Sus scrofa: one gene and its partner. The protein of the gene in region 1 interacts with the protein of each later gene in a biochemical or structural test. Links are inferred from orthologs where the notes say so. Each region holds a gene or a part of one and is shown on either strand. Other genes may lie near its edges. The genes, in order: RPS6KA3 and PEA15.

Region 1 (12,048 bases):
ACTGGATCCTTAACCCACTGAGCAAGGCCAGGGATGGAACCTGCGTCCTCATGGATGCCAGTCAGATTCATTTCCGCTGAGCCACGAACTCCAAAGTGGCAGATTTCTCAAGTATAGAGATCTGATGTTGACTTGGTGGTCAAGGACTAGAGTTCCATATAATGCCATAGCTTTCCCCAAAGTCACTTCCCCACTTGAGGTCTGGTTATAGACTGGTCTTAAATGAAAGTCACTAAAAAAGTTAGGATATTTTTTTAAAGTATCTTTTCTAGCTGCAGACCTAAATCTACATTCAAAAGCACAAATAAACTTTAAAAATAAAAATTTAAAAAAACCCATAACCACAATAACAGCCACGTTCTAAAACAACAGTTCCATAAAGTTTGGGGTTTTTTTTTGTTTTTTTTTTTCATAGTGGTGAGTAGTGGTTCTTAGTTTTTGCTTCAGAATCGTTTGTGGACTGAAAAAAATTTGAGAACCACCGCTCTAACCAACCAAACTAAATTGATAGTTATAAAACGGGAATGTTTATCCTCTGAAGGAGTACTTTATACTGCGATTTTTGGTTAATGTTAAAGCAGTTGTTTTGAATATGAGTTTGAAAATGAAATTTTAATGTATTATCTCCCTCTTATGAATTAGTGTTTATAAACAAGAACATTTAGTGTATCTTCTCTGTTCTAGTAGAAGGAAAACAGCAGCTTATTAAAGCTCCACGAATGGCTTCTCCGTTTCTTGTCAGGTCTCAAAGCCCCATAATTCTTTCCCTTCAAACAACTCTGAAACAAAATGACACCTCTAAGGATTAAATATTTTGGAAACCAATAAAAGAAAACATTAAAGCCTGTCTGACACAGACTTCTGCTCCATACTTCCCTGTTCCTCCCATCCTCCCTACATAAGTATGAGTCAGGTAATGTTAACTTTGAATCATACATTTGTTAGTTTCTTTTGAGCATTACATAAACAAAGTTTTGATCATAGCCTATGAGGCAACTGACCTGTAATCATTTGCATTTCAACATATGTGGCTTGAAAAACAGAACAGTAAGTTACCTTACATGCTCTTTTCTTTGAATTCCACAGGAAGTTGCAGTAGCATTTGTGTGTGTGTGTGTGTGTGTGTGTGTGTGTGTGTGTGTGTGTGTGTGTGATATGAGTACCTTAAAGAAATCGATTGTGCCATAATAAAATGCTCACATAACAAATGGAAAGAAAGAACTTTCAGGAGTGAATAATTTGAATTACATTACGTATGCAGGAATACTCCCTTTCCGAAGCTGATAACAATAGCTCCATTTATTGAGTGTTTCCTTTGTGGCAGGCACTGTGCTTAATGCTTCCCGGACTTTATTTCCATTTAATCTTCCTTAAAATTCTATGAGGAGGGTGTTGAGGAGGGTGTTATTATCCTATTTTCAGGCGAGGAAAACAAAGCTTATGTCGCGAATATTTATTGAGCAGCTACTATGTGCCAGACCCTGTTCTCGGCTGTTAAGTTGAAGCTTATAAACATAAAGGAATCTGGAGTTTGGACGTGGGCCTGGATCTGCTCTTAGCATGATCCCCTACTGCCTTACCGCGAAGAATGTTACATGCTGCAAGTATTTGTATCATAGATTGTTTTCCCCTTAGTTCCTTATAGATTTTATTAGCATCTTTCATCACATGTAACCCTAGAATCATTGAACTCTATATCTGCAGGGCAACCAAGAGAAGATCCTTACATTTTCCAGAATTTGAATTCTCTCAAAGTGTTCAAGCAAATGTAGAAATAGTGATTTTTTTCTTAAGCTGTGTGTCCAACAGGAAAATATTAATTTTTATTTGGGAAATTTCAAAGAAAAAATGAAATTCATACACATGAAAAAATATGTCATCATATATTTTAATTATTGTCTTAAGCAAGATAAAATTTAAGCCTAACTTTTTCTTTCTCTCCAGAAGGGAATAGTTATACAGTCTCTAGTGGGTTTTTTTTTTTTTTTTTTTTTGTATGAAAAGTAAAAATGCTTCAGATAATGTAAAGGGAAAAAACTTTTTTTTTTTCAGAGAGATAATGATGATTACACGTTATGGGTTTTCCATAGGGACAAACCAATATGTAACAGAGCTGTGAGTTTTGGATGTATAGGAGGTAGAGATTGTGCCATGAGCCATAGTTTAGTCATCTTGTAACTTTTCCAGACTGATGTAACTCCATTTTTTGAACAAATGTTATTTTGTTAAGTAAATGCCCATTTAAACTTGTATACAAAGGTTATAATTATAGCAGGAAATTGTTGGGGACAGAGGAGGTTAAATCTGGTTGTCCTGTCATACATCAGGAATGATTTCTTGGAAATCTAGTCCAGATTTTCGACTGAGGTTTGCTGTTTTCTTTTGCTGTAGTTTCAAGTAATAACTTTCCAATATTTTGGTTCTGACTAAGAGATATATGTGTGTATGGAGGGGGGAGGGTATTGAATCAGTAGGTAACTGAATCAGCCCTTTCTGCTGATTTTTCACCCAGGAGCCTCAAAAGACAGTGGAATGTGAGAATATCACTTAACATTATAGGACTTGTAGGATTACATAAAAGGCTCAGTGTTAAAGGAAAGTTCTAAAGCAGCACTGTCTTATAGAAATTTCTGGACAAGTAAGCCATGTATGTAAGTGTACATTTTATAGTAACCACATTAAAATAAAAAGAAACAGGAAATTAATTTTAGCAACGTATTTTATTTAACTCAATACATTGAAAATATCATTTCAATTTGTAGTCATTACAAAAATTACTAATAAGATACTTTACATTTTTTGGGGGTACTAAGTCTTTAAAATCTGGTGTGAATATTACACTTACAGCGTGTCTCAATAGCGACCAGCCAACTTTCACTGATCAAGAATCACTGTGTGGCTAGGGGCTAACATATTAGCTTGCACAGGTGATCTCTAGAGGCAGCTATTCTTTAAAGAACTAAGAATTTTCATTTCTTAAACAGGAAAAAAAAAAAAAGTAATCCTGCCCAGGGTAAAATCACCTTCTACATTCAAATAAATCTTTTGGTTGTCACCTAAGAAAAATCCCCCAGATTTCCCCAAATTCTCTCAGCCAGAAAGAGTGGCTGCACTGCTCTTGGATTTAATAAATGAATGAAATAAATTTTAAAAATATTGTTAACCAAAAGGAAAAAAAAAATCACTTTCTTTTCTTTTCGGCCAAAAGGAAGGAGAATAGTGTTTTCCCCAAATCAATTCACAAATACTTATCAAGTTGATTTTATCTGCAAGACAGCTGTGCTACTGGTAGTTTGGCCCATTATTAAGTTACTTTAATGCTTAATTCCTGCAATATGACCACTGTTCACATTACTTTTACAGATCAACTCACTGTTTTAAGTTATTTCTCTAGTTTTCAAGATAAAAAGAAATGAATAAAAGTTGATACTGAAATCAGCTTTTCAATATACAATTTGATTTACTTAAAAAAGGTTAGTTCACTCTTTGAGTGGAGTAATTAACGCTGGGCGGTGTTAGACACATAATAACTCTCTTTTCAACTATGTATGTTTTACTAAAGAAAGAATGTTAATTGGAATAATTGAGCATTGTTGGGGGGGTAACTTACCTTAAACTAACGAAATTGACCAACTTCTTTTCGCTGTAAGGAATGGTAATGTGGCTTTGCAATATAAATGTAAGATAAATGAGGCACTTTGTACATAAATGCAAAACAATACACAACTCCCTATCTTTTCCAACTTTGGCAAGCTGGTTTCACCGTCAAGAATTACAAAGACGGTGGCTGCCAAATTAGCTGAGTTTTGGGTCCAGATTGGATTTGCAGCACTTGAATCAGCATGTTGGGGGAGGTGACAGAATCACGAGCTCAGTCCTCCCCACCCCCACCCCACAGACCACGCTGAGCCTGCCCAGATGTTGCTCAACCCTGAGCTGTCCCCCTGAGTCCAAGGCTGCGGGAGAGGGCGCGCAGCGAGTATTTCCGGCCGCCTCCTCGGGCCGCCTGAACAGATGAAGCCTCTTCAGGTGGCCACGAGGCTCCCGGGCCTCCCGAGCCTGTGCCCAGGGGCGTGCCCGCAAAGGCAGGAGAAAGAGCCTAACACCTGGCTCTCTCTGGCCAGCGGGAAACCTTGCTCCGCCCGCGCAGACTGGCCGGCTAGGTGTGGAGCTCTAATCTCGTCCTCACACCTGCGTTAGGGAGGAAGGCGAGGGCTCTCCAGGTGTGTGGGTCCTGGGAGGATGAAAGAAAGCTGTTAAAAGGCGTGCACCGGGAGCGCAGCGGGGGACGCGCTGTGGTCGCGGGGCGTGGGAGGCTCGGGACGCCTGGGCCGAGGCCTGAGGGGATGGAGGCATTGGCCGGCCTGGAGGTTTCCCTTTACTTTTTTTCCGTCTCCTTGTAAGGCGGTTAGCCAATGGCTGCAGTAGCTTTCCACTCAGCCCGGCGACTTTTGTACATTTCTCCCCTGGCGCACTGAGCTCGCCACGGCACCTGGCGCGGGAAACAAGGGGTCGAACCTCCCCTCCCGCCCGAGCCACTCCAGTCGCCCAGGCCTCTTCCCTTGAGCTCTCCCTGTCCTCCTGCGCTCCGTCGCCGTCTGGGGCTTGGGTTTCCTTAACCTGGGGCTTCCCTATCTCGGGCAGGAGGAGTTAGAACCCCTCCCTCTCTCCCCTCCTCCACCCACCGCCAACCTGATTTTTAATCTAATCTTTTATTTAAAGTCAACAGAAGAGCAGGAACCCCGGGCTCCTGCCAACAAGATATTTTAAAATAATTCCCCGACCTCTGCCGAGAGGGGCAGCCTTAAAGAACCTCCTTGTTTTCTCCTTCATGAAGATTTAAGCAACGGGGAACGGGGGTGGGGGTGCGCTTCGAGGGTAGAGCCTGAAGCCCGAGGGTTCTGCGGCCTTGGAGGGGGAGGTGTCGACTCATGCAAGACCAACTAACTCCAAATATTAAAAATATAACACAAGAGCGTCAACTTGGAGAGCCTTGAATCAAAGGGAGAGCCGAACCCTCAGGCGACTACCAGGGCACGATGCCTTCAGTCTCCCAGTCCTGGGGGAGGGGGGGCGGGATGGTGAAGGGGCAGGTGAATGCCCATCGAATGACCCTGGAGAGGGCGGGTTCTGGGTCTTTACGGCATACGTCCATAGCCTTGGCGCGCCCACATGCACCCACGGAATAATCAGGACGAAAAGACAACCCCGTGCCCCCTCCCCGAGTCCTTGCGCCTCGCCCATCTCCTCCCTAGTTGGGCGGGGACCACTGTTCTCTACATCCCCGAGGAGCCTTCGATCTGCTAGGACGCAGGGCGCTTAGAAACTCCGAGCCTTTCGCACCTCCTCCCTTTCGCCTCTTTTCCCCCCACCTCCCGCCGACGCCCCCAGATCTCTACGGCTCAGCCTTTCCGAAAGTAGGCGAGGCCCAAAAGCTGAAGCTGGGGCGAGGAAGGAGGGAGAAGTGGAGTGCCGCGGCCGGGGGCGTGTCTTCCCAGGCCCCGCCCCCGGGTGCGCGCGGCGGTGGCGGCGGCGCCCGAGCCTCGCTCTGAGAGACAGGTATCGCTTAGGCGCCATGTTGTGAGCGGAAGTGGGGGAGCGCGCGGGGGCTGCTGTTCTGCTGGGAGCGGGCGCGGGAACCGGCGGGGGGGGGGGGCGGAGCTGTAGTCCCGGCGGCGGAAGGAGGAGAGGAAGAAAGGGGCGAGACCCGGTGCCCGGCAGCGGCGCGAGGCTCTCGCTCGGCGCGCGGGCGTCTCCAGCCGGGCGCGCGGCGTTCGAGGGTCGGTGTCTGCGCCGAGCCCTCTACCCAGCAGCCGCCGCCGCTGCTGCTGCAGCTGCCGCCGGCGCTACTGCCGTGGGGCTCGGGCGGCGACGGAGCGGGGCCGGCCGCGGGGCGGGCGGGGAGGGAGGAGGCGGTGAAGGCGGCGGGCCGGGGGGGAAGATGCCGCTGGCGCAGCTGGCGGACCCGTGGCAGAAGATGGCTGTGGAGAGCCCGTCCGACAGCGCTGAGGTGAGTGCAGTCGGGCGGCCGGGGCCGGCGCGCCCCCCTCCCCGCGCCCCTGCCTGTTCGCTCCCTACCCGGAGCCGGCCACTCGGCCCCTTCGCGTCTCCCCTCGGTCCGGGGTTCCGGTTTGGGTAGTTGGGGTTGGTGTCTTTGCCCTTCTGTTCCTCCACCCGCACCCTCCTCTCCCCTCCCTCGCTCTGGGGGCTGTGGTGTGGTGGCGCGTGGGGTTGGGAGTGGGCGCCGGGGCTTTGCGAGCAGCCGATTTTCATCAACTTTGCGTGGGGGAAGCGGGAGGCGGAGCGGGGGCTGGCGAGGAGTTACGAAGTTCGGCCCTGCCTGGTCGGGGGCTTCCCTGGACCCTGGTGACTTTGGGAAATGCGGGAGGGGTGTGGATTGGGTTCGCTGGGGAGCGGGGACTCTGGAGTCCGGCGGGGGGCGGGGGTTGTCCTGGGGAGCCGTGCACGCGGGGGCAGGCACGCCCCGGGACAGGGGTGGCGACCTTTGGGGGTTTCGGGGAAGGGGTGCAGGACAACCAAGACTTTTTGCCTCCCCCCCCCCCCGCAACTGCAGCAGCGGTTTCTGCTGCTGCAAAGGAGAAAGTGGAAGCCTGGGGTCCTGAACACAGACACACACACACACACACACACACACACACACACACACCGCCCCGTTTCTGAGGTCGCTGAGCTCGAGGACCCCGTCCCTGCGAGTTTAACATGAGTTTCCTGTCCGTAGAGGTGAGAGGGTGATTTTCAAGGAGATCGGCAGCCGCGGTAAAGGGCTTTCTGGTTTTCCTCGCCCGGAATCTGATGACCGTCCCCGAGACACCCACCCAAGTGACCCAAACCCAAACTGTGTACCTAAACAGGGCACACCAGCATTTCCCCGGCTCTTCGCAGCCACCCCTGTCCCAGAACCAACTCGGGTCTGTGAAAATAATCCGGGCAAGACCCATTCCAGGGCATCAGCGCTCCTCTCCGGAGTGGAAAATCAATTCCTGATGGTGGCGCGTCTGTGATTCTTCCTTCTTGACTTTTTGCTGTCTTATATCCCCACAGCGGACTTTGGGGGATTACAGGATGGTAGGCTGCGTGTGTGTAATAGTTACTGAGTGAGTGACCCCATTTCTGGAAAGCATGACTGAAGCGCGGGGGTGGAATGGGGCAGGCTCTGATGAGTGGTGTACTTGGCGGCAGCCGCTGCCCTGCCGGCCTCCGCAGTGTGAGAGGTGGATAGGGTTACTGGTTACGTCAGTAAGACCCAGGCTCAGTTTGATCTGAGATGCGGGACGCTTGCGTTCTCGGGTATAAAGGAGGGGGAGGGGGACAGGGATCAGTTCAAATCACTTTTCACTTTTTTCCTAGTCACCTCCGCTGCTGTGTAAAATGTTTACTTGCTCTCCATACCGCAGGCAGAGTTGTAATAGTGGCTTATGGTTGGTGCTTAGTATTTTGAGACTTGGATCACATTTTTAAAACCTAAATGAAACACTGCTCTTCAGTAGAAAAGACATTGATAAATGTTAAGCCAAAAATTTCGTAAAGGAAATTATGCTTTAAAGTCTGGCAGAATTACGAGAATTTCATTTAAAATTGTTAGCCAGACCGATACTGTAAAATTTTTAATAAGAAAATCAAATTTAGAATGTTTAATCAGCTTTTGAATGGATAGCATGAAAAATAGGGTGTCTGAGGCTCATTTCATTCGTTTTTTTCTTCAGAAAACATTTTGCATTAAATAATATAGCTTAAATGTTAATAAAATGTCTCTAAGTGCCGACCTTGTGGAAAGAAATTGAATTTGCTTTGAGCCTGAATTTTAGATGCAAACTTTAACATTTGCAACTCATAATCAGTCCACATTTCTGCTTGGCACACATCAGTGTGTTTAAAAATCAGTTAAAATTCCACCTGATCCTTTTTCTATATAGTACACATTTGGATTAGGAAGGCACAGAGCTGATGTTTATTTAGCACCTACTACATGCCAGATAGTGTAGTACATGCTATTTCATTTTATCCTTCCAGTGATCCAACAGAGTATGATTATGGTCCCAATTGTTACAGATTAAGAAACTGATCTCAGAAGTTAAGGGCACAAAGATTATAAATAGTAAATGGCAGAGCCATGATTCAAAGCTAAGTGAATATAATTCATGTGCTTTGCTTTATATTCGAGTAACTGCTTCATATCTTTTATGGAAAAAGCAGAGTATAAATAAATAAGCCAGTAGTTAGAGGTCATGTATTTTTCAGAAACAGTTATGGTATTATGAGATGTCTCATTTGTTAAAGCATAGTTATTTCAGTTACTGTCATGGTTTCCAGAACATGGCAGATAGGTTTCCACAATTTGCCATTTTAAAGTAATTGTCTTGAGATTCTGGTATAAGGTATGTCAATCAATCAGAGCCAGTGTTGCCTAGCTTTATTAAAACTAGATTTTAACATATTGCCATTAGATATTTTATTGCCTTTGGTTTTTCAGCTGTTTCAAGTAAATTACTTGTGATTCATGTTGCAAAATATTGAGGTCGGTAAGGAAAAGGTTGATTTTCATTCAAAAGTAATATTGAACTTAATATTATGCTTACTTTTATGCCATCTCTTCCCCAGTAAGTTCTCAGAAATAATTGTATTTTACTAGAATAAAATAATTTTTAAAATAGTCATTTGAGTAAAAACACCAGAATATTTCTCTTCAGAGTATAAGATTTCAGGGTTGATCTCTATAGAAATTTACCTTTTTGGTCTCTTCCTGGTAGGTTGAATTGTTCAAAGCAGAGACTTTTTTTTTCCCTTTATATCCTCAACACTTAATACAGTGCATGGCACATACATAGCATAGACACCCCCCCATTACCGCTGAATTAATTATGAAGGTCAGGAATAGGGTAATTATCTATCTTATCTCTGTTCTTAGCATTTTATAATTTTTTTATAGTTGGTTCTTGACCTAGATCTTTTTTTTTTCCTATACCACAGCTCACAGCAACGCCGGATTCTTAACCCACCAAGCAAGGCCAGGGATTGAGCCTGTGTCCTCGTGGATACTAGTTGGGTTCGTTACCATTGAGCCACAATGGGAACACCTGTTCTTAGCATTTTAATCTTCCATTGAAATATGAACAATCTTTAAAGACCTGAGTACTTCACCAAAAGTACCATCCGTTTCTTCATTCCTTTACATGTCTTCTTGACCTCACATGGGTCTCATGGTGTTCAAAACAAAAAAACCCTTGTGGTTGAACTCAAACATGGGTCAGAACATGATAGGCTAGAACTATGCCAAGTATTTAAAGAAGCAAATTTAGGATAATAAAGCAAGTGCTATGTAAGCAGAACCAAGGTTGGTGCAGGATTAAAAACAAAATAGCTTTGTAAATAGTCCAGGTGAATTCAGAACTCTTTAATTAGTTGTTTAAAGATGCTAGTATGTTTTTGAATATTTGACTGTTTAGGAGGTTGATATCAAAGAATTGTGGCTGTTCTCTTCTACAAACTCCTTGCCACTGCTGTCAGGGACGTTTACTGGATCATAAGCCTGAACTAAAGTGACACTTTTTTCTCAGTTTCAGTAAAGATAAATTATAGTAACTCTAAATATGAACAATTTTCAAAAATAATAAAATTAAAGAGGTTTATTTTTGCTTTATAGAAATGTGTTATGTAAAAATAGCTACCTCGGAGTTCCCTAGTGGCTCACTGGGTTAAGGATCCAGCATTGTCACTGCAGTGGTTCAGGTCACTGCTGTGGCATAGGCTAGATCCTTGGCCGTGGAACTTCTGAATGCCATGGGGCACAGCCAAAAAAAAAAAAGATACTTTCATTCTTTTAAATAACAAGTTACCCATAAGACATTGAAAAATATTAACTATATAAGTATTTATAAAGAATGAGACCCTTGGAAGTTCCCTTGTGTGCAACCGGTTAAGGATCCAGTGTTACCAAAGCTGTGGCACAGGTAGCAACTGCAATGCAGGTTTGATCCCTGGCCCAGGAACTTCCACATGCCATGGGCATGTCCAAAAAAAAAAAAAATGAGACCCTTGTTTTGGAAACCATTTTCAGTGGGTGTGCAACCATTTTTAACGTCAAAGATTATATTGGATTTTGTAGTATTTCCACTATACCAGTATCTCTTATATTTCATTTGTAGGGAGAAACATTCTATTAAAGTGTGATCTTTGGTTTTGAAAAAAAATGTTTTATTAAGTTTCTTTTCCTTTTCCTGTTTCATTTTTACCACCTTTCAGGTTTTTTTCTTTCCCCAAAGTGAAGATCTGAGGAGAGGACAGGTATTGTTACATGTCAACTGTCAAGTAACTGTGAAACATTATTAAACACTTTGTTGTTTTCAGTGATTATAATATTGGATATCAGTTCTTGTTAAACTAAAATTTAAGAGGGTTTGCTTCATTTTGGCAGCTTGATCCTATACTAATGGGGTTGATCCAAAATGTGAAACTTCTTTGCTGCATTCACATTTTAAATATAGAGAGAAACTTAGCCAATTAAAGGAACAAGTATAAGCAGACTTTGCCTTTTCATTAGTATGTTTCTGGAGATCACAATGAGTATCTATTTTTATGTAAGAAGAGTGGCATAATTGAGTTGTACACTCTTGACCAAGGACATGACATTGAGTAAATTATAGAATGATCAAAAATATAGCAGATCATTTATCAGATGTCTGAGTTTCAGAAAAGTTGCTCTAAAGATTTTTTAAAAATTTATCCACTAAAAATTTTATCCCGTTGTGATCATTCACAAGATTTGCTCTAGAGTTCCGTGCTCAAGGACATGTGACCTGCCAGGCTGGGAATGTTGGGTGACATCAAGTGGCCCAGTTTGTCCAGTGCAGACTGGATGCTTTAGACCCAGTGGTTCAGATTACAGTGTACAACAGTGACATCTTGATCTCTTGGTAATGCATGAGTGTGATAGTGCTCAGTTGTATATGTGTTTTGATGGATAAAAGTTTTGACGCTTCAGAATGGAATTGAGCAAATGTATATTTTACACATCCCATTCCAGAGTTCACATAATAGAAGGAAAAAATAAGCAATTGCATTTTAACACTTGACATTAGATGCCCGCTCCTTCTTTCAGAGTTGATAAAATTTCCTGTGTCATTAATTTGTAACAGCAAATCTCAGATACTTCTGTATTTCAGTAATACCAAATAGCACAGAAGCAAAGACAAAATAACTGTAAATTTTAATTAAGTAAAATGTGTCAAGTTGATGAAACAAACATGCTATATATGTTGTGTAAAACAAGGTAAAATATATCCATATAAAAAAGCTCGTTTCATACACTGAGCTGCTTTAAACAGATACCTTAGTTACTAGCAATTAATTATTACAATTTTACCTAGTCCACTTTATGAGATAATTTGGATATATGATAAAGTGTTGATGAACATAAGCTTTGAAGCCATGAAGACCTGGGTTTGAACCCTGGCTCTGCCGCTTAATATCTTGTTATGCAAGTTATTTAATGTGTTTATGCTTCAATGTCCTAATCCATAAAATAGGAATGAAAATAATATCTACCTCATGGGGCTGTGGTGAGAAGTAAATGATAATATATGTTAAGCATATATCAAGTGTTTAATAAGTAATAGTTATAATGAATCATCTCTCAAACAGAACTGTCTTAGGAAGTTCTGTGTTTTTCTTCTGGAGTAATTTTTTTGGAATCAAACAGAATGATTAAAAATGGTTTGTTTGATCTGTTCAGACAGAGCCTTTATAATATTTGAATATAACTGTAATGGTAAGGTGAACAGAAATCTCTTGAATCTTGTTCTTTTTTTGTACTGTTCTCCTCTTTGATGTCTTTAAAGGGGGGAAACATTTTTGAACACTATGAGTGGAAGAAGGAAGAAAGCAAAGTATGTTCATATTTCAGCATTGCTCAAATTGGAAGCCTTCTCAGGATCCATGCATGTCATTGTTTAATTAGTAGTGGGTTTTTTTTTTTCTTAGAGATTTAAAAGAGAATAGTGTATCTTACACATGGTGGTGTCTTATAATGGA
Region 2 (11,491 bases), on another chromosome or scaffold:
TCCCTCGCCTGGCTCAGTAGGTTAAGGATCCAGCATTGCCATGAGCTGTGGTGTAGGTTGCAGATGCGGCTCGGATCCTGTGTTGCTGTGGCTCTGGCGTAGGCTGGCGGCTACAGCTCCAATTGGACCCCTAGCCTGGGAACCTCCATATCTCCATATGCTGTGGGAAAAAAACCAAAAAAAAAAAAGTAGGAGCCCTGTGCTCTCCCTTCCCACCCCCTCTGCTTGACCTTGACCTTCCTACCCCCAGCCCCAGGCAACCAGATAGACTTGAGTGCTTAGAGCCCCCTCCCGCTCACTGCAGGCATCTCCAGGTCCTCACAGCTCCCCTCAGCCTTAGGCAGCTGCAGCAGGTGTGAGGGAGGGAGAGGAGCAACTCCTAATCCTCTGGCTTCTTAAATTTACTGGGGATTTGGAACCAAATGCTAGGGAGAGGGGATAATCGTGAATTAATATCGAAATGCACGGAAATTCTTTTGATGCTGCTGCCTCCTCCACAGGTGGTTATCCCATTTTGCTGGGCTTCTCGAAGTGCCCCCAGGGCTGCCCCTTCCTCCCCCAGTGCCCACAGAGCACCCACCTGTCATGCTCCCAACTCCTACCCAGAAAGTCAGAGTATAATGATCCTTACCTCCTGGCCCTCTCCCTTGGTTTGACTTTTGTCAGAGCCCCACCTGGGCCTGGCTGGGAAAGAGAGGAAGGAAGGAAGGTGTGAGGAAGCGGTGAGCCGAGCATAGAATGATCTGGGAGGGAAGGGGACTGACTTCCTGGCAGCCTGGGCTCCGGTTCCCGGTTCCTGCCCTAGTATCCTGTCTCAGGAATGGCCTCCACCCAGGCTGCCTGGTGTTCCCTGGGCAGCCTTTGCTCTGTTCCAAAGATCAGGAGCTGTGAGAGTGGGAGACGACTCCAGAGGCCCTAAGGACTTTTGAATCTTGGGTGAGAAAAGTGACATGCGTGGTGGAGGAGCCAAGCTTTTGCCAAGCCCCGCCAGGGCCAGACTACTCAGGGACAGTGGTTGACCAGTGAGTGAGACTTGAGAGCCAAGTAAGGAGCTCCCACCTCCTCACCCCTCCAAACCCCCCAGATTCCGCTGTCCTTGCCCCTGCCGCCCCACGCAGGTCTGGGCAGATGGGATCTCTCCAGGGAGGTGGACAGCCAGGCTGCCTGTCCTCGCTCCCTCACAGGGTCTTTCTCCTGTCCTTTCTGTCTCCTCTTACTCACCACTCCCCACATCCCTCCCATCCAGTGGTGTCATTGTCCTGACGCCTGAGGGGGGGGCGGGGAACCCAGAACTGAGGTTGCCATGGTAACCAGTGAGCCGAGGCTGCAGCCTTCTCATCGTGGACTCTGTGCTCCTTGGCCCCCTCCCCACAGGCTTCCTCATTTGCAGCCTCAGAGGCTTCCCCCCTCCCACCAGCAGTTCTCTTCCTCCATTCTGTAGGCTCCCCCTACCCTTCCTCTTTCCTCTGGATGTGAGCCTGTGATTCTCTGCCTTCTTACACTTACTCTCAGCTGGTCCGACACAAACACACAGACCACATACACTCAGAGCCACACATCCAACACTGGCACATACACATCCATCACCACAACATCCAAACACACCCACAGAGAGCAGCCACTGCCCCCTCCCTGTACCTGTGCCCACACCCAGGGAGCAGTGGCCATCCGGGGGATCCTGGCTCTTACACGTTCCCATCCCCACCCCCCCCACCCCTGTTCTTTTAGGGCCTCGTTGTATCTGTTTCTCTTAAACAGCTCTTACCCACCGCCCGCAGCCTTTGTGGGTGGGTGTCTAATACACACTAATCCCTTCCCGCCCACCTCCCCTGTAAGTCTGTGTTTTTGATTCAGTCCTAAAACTTAACTCCTCCCAGGAGATACACACACACACACACACACACACACTCACTCCTCCCACAGAATCTCTCTATTTACAAACTCTTCTTCCATGTGCATGCAGGGTACTATGACCCTAAATCCTGTCCCATTTTCCAGCCGAGTGTTTGGTCCCAGGGTCTCCTCAACTCCTTCCGGTGGTGCCCCTTTTTTTCAGCTCTCCCCACAGCTCCGCTCCATTATTACCCCCATCTCCGAACCCCCTTCCCAGCATTCCTCTTGTCCACATCCCCCTCTTTTCTGTCCTCGGATTATCAGCAGAGGGAGGTGGGGGCTGGACTCCAGAGCCTGCTGCTCTGACCTAGATTTCAAGGCAGAGACGGTTCCTGGTGCTGACAGTCAGAGAGCATTGTTCCTGGCCCAGCCTGGCAGGGCCACCGCTGGGCCCTTCTGTCTGGTTGCACCTGGGTGTGCAAGTGAGCGTGCCTTTAAGTGCCTGTTTCTTGTGGGGGTCATGCTGGCCCTGGTGCCTGGCTCATTGTGTGTCTGTGTCACGGTGCCTGCCACCAAGGGAGGCTTGTTTGTTCTGGTCCAAGCAGGGGTCTGAGAATGAGGCCTTCTGAGTCCATGCCTCTTACTATGTAGTGGCTGTGCCTCTCTGCCTCAGTTTCCCTGCATGTAAGCCGGAAATAAAGGAAGATGGGGTGTGTCAACTAGTCCCCTTCTCATATTCCCGGCCCCGTTGTTGGGGTGATTCGTGGGCAGTCTCAGTCAAGTACGAGGTCATCTAGCTCCTTGCCCCACCCCTTGGTCTAGCCAGTGTTTATGGCATAATTAACTTCTTAAAATGCTTTATACTTTTCTAATTATAAAAGAAAGACATACTCATTGTGGGGGAAAAGGCTCCCCTTTTAAAACTCACCACTGGAGTTTCACATTTCATCACATCCAGAAAGTTCATTCTAAGGTCTGACCTTCTCTCCTCTGGTCTTAGCCACATTTCCTTAGCCTAGTAGAAGGAAGGCCTTGACTGTTTTTTACCTTTTCATCTGAGGGTCTTCATGAGGAGGAATGGGGTGAAGGACTAGATGAGATCGAGCCTCCCCCAGCCTCCTCTGGGAGGGTCACATGGAAGGTAGTGCCAGCCGGATGTTGATGCAAGCAGGAGCGGCAGCCCCCTTCCTGCCAGACTCTCCCAAAGCTGCATCTGAACCCCTTCCCCCTGCCACCCAGCCAGCCTGGGAACTGGGCAGGGGGCCAGAGCCAGCCGCTTGGTATTCTTAGGCGCGGGGGCTGTAGGCATAGCACAAAGGCTAGGAGAGAGGGTTGTGTGGAGGCCCAGCAGCAATCAAGGGAGAAAATGGGCTCCGCAAAGGTGGGGGTAGCCCATTGCTCCCCCCTCCTCACACTACCCCGTGAGACCTAATGACTGAATACAGGGCTGAGCATGGAGGGGCCAGGGGACCATTAGCCCAGGCTACTAGGCATCCATTCAAAATGAGTCATTAGTGGGGTGGTGGGGAGTTGATGTGAGGGGGACCCCCCTGTGCTTCTGGGAAAGAGTAGAAGCTAGAACACATGAAGTCCAATCAACCTCCTCCAGCCCCTTTTTAGCCTCTCACTGCCATGGCAAGCCTCTCCCTGATCATTGTTTTGGAGTCTATGTGTGTGGTTTTTGTTTTTTTTTTTTTTGACAGTGGGAAGGGTTGCAGGTGGGTGAGGCAATTCTGGTGGGGGGACTTGGAGAGAGCGGGTGAGTGAGAAAGTCTCAGGAGCAGGTTGCTATGGTAACCGCCTCCTCAGTCGGGGAGCTGTTGCCAGGGTTACTGTTAGAGGGGGGAAAAGGAAGAAGAAAGATGGTGGAGGGAAAGAGGTGTGACTTTTCACTCTAGGCTCCAGCTTGGCCCCTAGCTTCCAAGTTGCTTCCTGTCTACTCCTGCCTCCCTTAGGGCTTCCTTTTCTGTAGCCCCAACATCCATGTTCTAGGCACATGCCTGGTGTGGTTAGAGGAGGGGCGTGTAGTGCCAGTGAGCAAACCAGACCCTGTACCTCAAGCTCAGCCTCCTCTCCCTTTGTTCCCCTCAACCTCAGTCATGGCTGAATACGGGACCCTCCTCCAGGACCTGACCAACAACATCACCCTTGAAGATCTGGAACAGCTCAAGTCAGCTTGCAAGGAGGATATCCCCAGTGAGAAGAGTGAGGAGATCACTACTGGCAGTGCCTGGTTTAGCTTCCTGGAGAGCCACAACAAGTTGGACAAAGGTAGGGGAGGGGGACACAGCCATCCTCCTACCGTCAGCCTTTCAGGCTCCTTCATTCAGTAAATAGAAATGGGCTCAGAGCTCCTATACAAAGTGTGCTCTCTGACAAGGCAGGGTAAGAGGGATGCTCTAAGAGAGTACAGGGGCCCTAGAGCAGTGGTTTTTACATTCTTCATATTTCACCTTGCCATTAAAAATATCATTCAGAAAAAAAATGTTACTCAGATCCTACTGTGCTATCATCACATATATAATGGAACATTAAAATAGAAGTTAAAAGTGATAAAACTTAAAGCCACAAGCGCTAACATTTTCTTATCCGTTTCTAGAGACCAGTGCTCTGGAAAGAGCTTTAGGGAGGAACAAATATTTTAAGATGGCCCTGAAGGACAAGTGGGATTTCAAAGGCAGGATCCAGAGGACATGCTAGGCAAGGGGACCTGGTCGCCCAAGTGGGAGAGTGGTGTGTGGAAAAGCAAGGAGTTCTGCTTAGCTTGGCTGGGGCAAAGGGTATGTTTAGAAGTGACTGGAGGGAGTTCCCCAGTGGCCTAGCAGTTATGATCCAATGTCATCATTGTTGTGACTTGGGTCATGGCTGTGGTGCAGGTTTGATCCCTGACCCAAGAACTTCTCCATGCTGCAGGTATAGCCCCCCCCCCAAAAAAAAAGGTGAAGGGAAAGGTAAGGTAGGTCTGTGCCATGTAGGGCTTTGAGCAATAGGGTATTTGATAGGTGAGGTGAGTGACATGAGGCCCTGCAGAGATACTCATCTGTAGCTTGGGTAGCAGAGAGGGAGGCTGCAGCAGGAGAGGGAAGGAGCCAGGCAGGGAGACAGCTGCAGTCTGCTAGAACTGGCTGTGGAAACCATCCTTTTGGTCATGTCTGTGCTTCCTCATTCACAATTACCCTTCTCACTAGGCCCAGAATCTCTCCTGTGTGGTCTACAGAGTCCACCCTTCTAGTAGCACATGTGCTGCTGGGAAGACTTTTCTGATGGTTACTTTGAGGAAAGGCAGAAGAGGGACACAGTTGGGTGTCTGGAATTTGGAAGGCCAGCTAATTCTTCTGTTCTTCTCTCCCTTCAATGTGGAACCTGGTGTTTAATCTAAATTCCTCATTCTGGAAACTTCACTGATCAACCATCTGCCCTTCCTGGGAACAGTTCTGCTTTTTGGTACCTTAGCTGTCCTTTCCTGGCTTAGTAGCCCCTCTTCCTCCAGTGTTGCCTCCTCCAGTAACCAATGTGAGCAGCTCGGCCCGGGTTTCAGAAGCCTGGTCTGAGAGTGTAGGGAAAGCTGACCTCTACAGCTTGGCTCTGACCTTGTCTCCTGCCTCCCTCCAGACAACCTCTCTTACATCGAGCACATCTTTGAGATCTCCCGCCGTCCTGACCTCCTCACCATGGTGGTTGACTACAGAACCCGTGTTCTGAAGATCTCTGAGGAAGATGAGCTGGACACCAAGCTGACCCGTATCCCCAGTGCCAAGAAGTACAAAGGTAAGGGGTCATGCCTTTCATACGCACCTCTGCCCCCTCCCATGGTTGTCTGTGGAGCACTTGAATTTCGGAAGAACAGAGGCTGATGCTCAGTTGGCCTGCCTGGTGCCTCCCATGACTTTTGTCCCTGCGCTCATCTCTTTTTGCCCCCAGACATTATCCGGCAGCCCTCTGAGGAAGAGATCATCAAATTGGCTCCTCCACCGAAGAAGGCCTGAGCAAGGGGGAGGAAGAGGAGGAAGGTTGGACCTTCATCGGACCACTCTCTTCCCCCATCCTCCCGGGGAGGGTGCAAGGGCACCCCCCGCCACCCACTTACTAACCTGGTCCTAACCCCCTTACTGTGCGCGTGTGTGTGTGTGCGCACGCTCTGGCTGTCTGTCTATATGTCTAGCTCATCTAGTTCCTCCTCCTTGTGAGGGGATGGGGGTCAGGGGCTGGGGGTTGGGGGGGGCTCAGTTTCCCCACTCTAGGGGGAGTTGGGGGCTATTTCTATGCAAATAGAAATGGGCACATTTCTCCTCCTTCCCTTTCCTCCACTCTTCCCCCACATCTCTAAAGTGTGGGAGCAGAAAGGACCTTTATTTTCCTACATTGAGGAGGCAAGGTGGGAGGCATGGGAGAGGTGGGTGAATCTAATAGAAAGCAGTGGGAGGGAAGATGCAGAGACTACCCAACCCCCGCCTGGAAGGGTCAAAGAAAAGCCAGAGTTCGTGTCCGTACCCCAGTGCTGGACTGGCTGAAGAGTCTAGTTTCCAGCTGTTCCTCAGGTTGGAGGGCCTGGGCACGAGCAGGTTCCTTTTTGCTCCCTCTCATGGGCCTAGGACGCGTAAGAGCCAGGGAACTGAAGAGCGAGGATCACTGGATCTTTTCTGGCCCCAGAATTTATCCCATGGAGCACCCAGCATTAGATCCCGCCTCCGCCTCTGCTCTGGAGACTGCTGGGAACATGCCCCACTGGGGCTGAGTGGGGATGAGGGCAGAGTCCCCTCTTCTACTCCTTTATTCCTACTCAGACTGTTGCACATACTGACCTAGGGAGTTCGGAGAATTGAGATCCTTAGGTTTTAACTCTAATCCTGCTTCCACCTAGAGTCCCAATGTGGTTACTGCAGGCAACCTTTCCTCTCTCTGCAGTCAAGAACCCCTCCCCAAGCCAGAAAGGGGATGAAGTTACCTACGGTGTTTTCTGTTGCACTGATCCCCAGTTCAGTCCAGGAGGGGACCTGGTAACCCCTCTCCCTCAATATCCTGGCACCTTGGGCTTACGAGCGCCTCCTAGCCAAGTCACCAGAGTCCAGTGACCCCAGCCTCCTGCCTGTCCCAAGATACCCCTGCCCACCCTGACCGTGCTAACTGTGTGTACATATATATTCTACATATATGTATATTAAACCCGCACTGCCATGTCTGCCCTTTTTTTGTGGTGTCTAGCATTAACTTATTGTCTAGGCCAGGGCGGGGGTGGGAGGGAAATGCCACAGTGAAGGGAGTGGCAGAGACAAATTGCTACATAGTCAAAACGAAAAAGAAAACTTAAAAAAAAAAAATTCGCATGTCAAGAGACTATTTAGAGTAAGTTTAAGCTAGGAGCTTTTAGGATGTGGGAGCAAAGCTTTAGGTGGAGGGGAGGGCTGACTGTTGGAAGAGGGAAGAAGCCAGACTGGTTGGAGAGCACCCTTCTACTCCTAACCCAGCCCAGCCTGCCTGTCCCTTCTGGCCACTGCTGCGGACACCTGCCTTAACACATACACCTCGAGTATTCCACAGGTTTGCCTTAAAGGACCTTCCCAAGTTTCCCCAGCCCTGTCTGGCTTCTCCCTCAAGAAGAGAGAGGGATACCTGTAGAACTAAGGAGGAGAAGGTAAGCATGAATTGTCCTTCCAAGGCAGCATATGTTAAGTGAGATTGAGAGAGAGAGAGAGAGAGAGAGAGAGAAAGAGAGAATGAGAATAAAGAGTTTCCTTCAAAGAGAGAAGTTGAGATGGGAGAAGGGAGACAGGGTCATTTTCAGTGGAGTCTAGTAATTTCTGTAAGGCAAAATAATCTAAAAAGACTAACCTGCCCACCCACCCCTTGTACTGCTGTGAAATTGCCCCTATCCTGTGCTCCTCCGTCTGCAGTGTGCACGGCCTTGTTCTAACCCTGGAATAAAGGTGATTGATTGTACTGTATTAAATGATTCTAGGATTTCTATGAATGACCAGGACTGTGGAGCCTCTGGATGACTGGGAAGGGAGGGAGAGCAGTATTTACCCCCAAATCCTAATTGCAGCCTGGAACAGGGGCCACCTAATATCATCTAATATCTCTCCCCTCCCCCATCTGCTAAGTATCACTGAACTGTGGGGCCTGTTCCACTTACAGTCCCCGACTGGAGCCCAACCACTGGAAACATGGATATCCCAGACTGCACTTCATAAAACTGTACTAAGACCAGGGCCGCCTCTACTGGAAGGAGCAAAACGAGCCAATCAGGAATGAATGGCCCACATATCACACACACAGCAACAGTCAGAAAAAAAAAAAAAAGCTTTACTGAGAGAAAATACACAACAAATTCCAGAGTGCACGGTTTTCAGCCCACTCCATCACCCCACCAGCAAGAAGAACACAGACCACTCAGTCACCACACATTCCCCACTTCAGGGAGGAAGTGCAGCAGCTAACATTTGGTCTGAGTGCTGCTAGGAAAAAGGGGCAGGAGGAAGGAGTATCTGGGAATTCCATCCTTTCACTCTTCCCTTCCTTCCTGTCCTGTTCTAGTAGAATCTGACCGTCCCAGGATGCAGAATTCCTGGTGGGGGGCAAAGAAATAGCAGCAAAAGCATTTAAGGGCAAGAATTCAACTGGGACTTTCATATTCAGTGACCAGTGATACGACAGGTGTCTGAGCCCCAGCCACCTTAATCATTCCTTCAATCCCAAAAGAGGTGGATAAGGTATACAGTCAAACCCAGGAGGTCTCTCCCTGTGCTCTTCCATGAGGAAGGGAGCTGGTGTGGAGTGGGATGGCTTAAAGAATCAAGCAGCTAAAGGTAAGACTGTGTTTTCTGTTACACACAGTACTAGGAGAGATGGCCTGCAGTGGCAGACCTCTTCCTGAAGCCACAGTTCAGTCAAGTTTTAAAGATGGGCCAGTCTGTGGTTAAAAGAGCCATCCTGGGAACCCCCACAAGACTTAAGGAGAGGTAGGAGACCTGGGGCAAAGAGCTAAAAGGGGTTTCCCAACCCTGAAACCACGGCAGGAAAGCAGGGAAAGGCAGGATTCAGGATCTTTCCATTCTCAAGCCTCCTAAAGCCTAAAAGGGTGAGCCCCAATCTCCCAATGGCCATACACAGAGAGGAGGGTGACCCCAAGTGACACCTCCGCATCATTACTCTCACTCACTCTCCTCTAAGTCCCTTTATTGCAGTCATAGAGAATATATAGTATTTAAACTTTGACAATAATTTTAATGTGATACATCCAATTTTAACTTGCTTTTTAATATATTTATAGATATAAAAGTAGGCCTCTAACAGTGATAGGGACAGGGAGATTGCTGCCACCAAACAAACTTTTTTTTTTTTTAAAGTAACAAAAGAGGTAACATCCTTCCTATTCTTCCACTTCTACCCCTCCTCCCACCTCCCCCCAACCTCCCTCACCAGACCTAGTGAGGGAATGACAGGATGAAGAGAAGAGAGTGAAGGATACATAATCAAGTGCAAAACACTGTGATAATAAGTACAGAGAATGAATGAGGTGGAAAACAAAGTGAAAAGTGTGGGATGGTTAGGGGCTCTAAGGACCTCCCAGAGAAACAGGATCCTGGGATAGGGCTGCTCAAGGGGAAGAAAAAACAATGCAACTGTCATAGACTTTTTAAAAATAAAGAAAATAACGTCAAAACCTAAAACCAAAGAGAGAGTGGCCCTTCTACCACTCCCAGTCTGGCCCCTTGGTACTGAACAGCCAGTTAACCCCCCACCCCCCACCCAAGAAACAAGGGAGATCAAAGAAAAGGAAACCCCATTCCTTACCCAAAACCAGTTAACAAAATAGGCTCCCCCCTCCCAAAAAAAAAAGAAGGCTTTGGGGAGAGGCCATTTCTGCTGAGTCCTGCGCACCTCTCCATGGAACCCCATTGCAGGGCTCAACTCCCACTCTTAGATACCCCTGCAGGTTCGCTCTCCTCTGGCTTGTCCTCCTGGGATGTCTTTTTTTTTTTTTTTCTCCTTTTTTTTTTTTTTTTTTTTTTTTAAATCTAAAGCAAAAATGTCCAAAGTGCGTTTCTGCTGAATGTAAGGGCCTGGGACAGGAAAGGGCTGCCCAGGCAGGATCAGGTTGGCAGCCCTGGCCTGCCCCTCCTGGGTACGAGGCCTCAGGATGGCATACACTGCACCCGGTCGGGGCCCTCCTCCTCGTCCGATGTGTCTGAGGAGCTGGGAGACTCATCCGAATCTGCGTCTGTGGCCCCAACCCCAGGTTCTCGCCAGCGCTGTAGGATGGGAAAAGCTTATTAGTAATTACCCTGGAACAAGGACAAGCCTGTCAGGTCTTAGCTAAGATTCAGATACTCTAAGCCAGGGGTCAGCAGAATTTTTCTTTTTATTTTTTTGTCTTTTTAGGGCTGCACCTGTGGCGTATGGCAATTCCCAGGCTAGGGGTCTTATCAGAGTGTAGCTGCCTACTTATGCCACAGCCACAGCAACGCGGGATCTGAGCCACGTCTCCCTGACCCACTGAATGAGGCCAGGGATCGAACCTACCACCTCATGGTTCCTAGTCGGGTTCGTTAACCACTGAGCCACAACAGGAACTCCCAGAATTTTTCTTAAAGAGTCAGACAGTACATATTTTACACTCATGGGCCACATCTCTGTCACAGCCATTCAACTCTACTATTGTGGCATGAAAGCAGCCACAGACAATACATAAATGAATGGGTGAGGCTATATTACAATAAAACTTCATTTACAAAAAACGAGCACATGCCAAATCTGCCATAGTTTGCTAACCCCTGCGTTAGGACTCTTCTGGCTCAAGGAGTTTCTCCTCAACTCCTTCCCCACCCTCATGCCATTGCTTTTATGAAGACAGCATTGTGCATGCATGGTGATGGAAAACACAAAGAAGACAACACCAATTTCTGCTAGTGGCTCTTCTAAGACTACATCAAGGCTTTGATGGGGATGGGGGATAATGGATAGGAAATCCAACCAATTTCACCTGATTTCGTCTAGAGCAGTGAGGAAGTGTGCACTGTGGAACATTACCCTCTTGAGAGGGTCAACTGCCTTTGGGAGCTCACTTCCCACTTCAGCTTACCCGGTGATGGCGTCTCTGTCTCAGGTGATGCATGAGGAACCAGAGCATGTGGCTATCAAATAAGTCAGTGTGGTGTAAGCTATCTTCATCCCGTTCCCGCTTGTTCTTCTTAATCACCTGAAATCGAAAGGGGGAGAGTGGATAATGAATAGGAACACTGGACCTGATCAGAAAAGGCTGGTGTTCTAGCCCAATAAAATCTTCCCTTAGGGAGTTCCCACTGTAGCACAGCAGAAACGAATCCGACTAGGAACCATGAGGTTGAGGGTTTGATTCTTGGCTTCGCTCAGTGGGTTACGGATCTGGTGTTGCCGTGAGCTGTGGTGTAGGTCGCAGACATGGCTCAGATCTGGTGTTGCTGTGGCTGTGGCCTAGGCCGGTCAATGTAGCTCTGATTAGACCCCTAGCCTGGGTCCATATGCCAGGGGTGTGGCCTTAAAAAAAAAAGACCAAAAAAAAAAAAAAATCTTCCCTTAGGAACTATTAACAGAGTGTAGCATAACTAGATCATATTAGAAAAGGATGCCCCACTTTCATCCATGGAAAAAATGTCTCCTGTCCCCATCCTACCATCAT

The links.
Region 2: the proteins of RPS6KA3 (region 1) and PEA15 form a complex in vitro, tested with the Homo sapiens proteins (2 studies listed by BioGRID). The link is inferred for Sus scrofa from reciprocal best matches to the Homo sapiens genes RPS6KA3 and PEA15.

The regions. Positions count from the first base shown.
Region 1 is NC_010461.5:16,568,820-16,580,867, reverse strand, and holds the start of RPS6KA3 (ribosomal protein S6 kinase alpha-3), read left to right. Parts: upstream 1-5,655; 5' UTR 5,656-5,941; coding exon 5,942-6,010; intron 6,011-12,048. UniProt on the Homo sapiens protein: Serine/threonine-protein kinase that acts downstream of ERK (MAPK1/ERK2 and MAPK3/ERK1) signaling and mediates mitogenic and stress-induced activation of the transcription factors CREB1, ETV1/ER81 and NR4A1/NUR77, regulates translation through RPS6 and EIF4B phosphorylation, and mediates cellular proliferation, survival, and differentiation by modulating mTOR signaling and repressing pro-apoptotic function of BAD and DAPK1.
Region 2 is NC_010446.5:90,259,884-90,271,374, reverse strand, and holds the end of PEA15 (astrocytic phosphoprotein PEA-15), read left to right. Parts: intron 1-3,930; 5' UTR 3,931-3,932; coding exon 3,933-4,104; intron 4,105-5,445; coding exon 5,446-5,601; intron 5,602-5,754; coding exon 5,755-5,819; 3' UTR 5,820-7,775; downstream 7,776-11,491. Other genes in the region: DCAF8 (DDB1- and CUL4-associated factor 8), read right to left, coding at 9,969-10,085, 10,916-11,032. UniProt on the Homo sapiens protein: Blocks Ras-mediated inhibition of integrin activation and modulates the ERK MAP kinase cascade. Inhibits RPS6KA3 activities by retaining it in the cytoplasm. Inhibits both TNFRSF6- and TNFRSF1A-mediated CASP8 activity and apoptosis.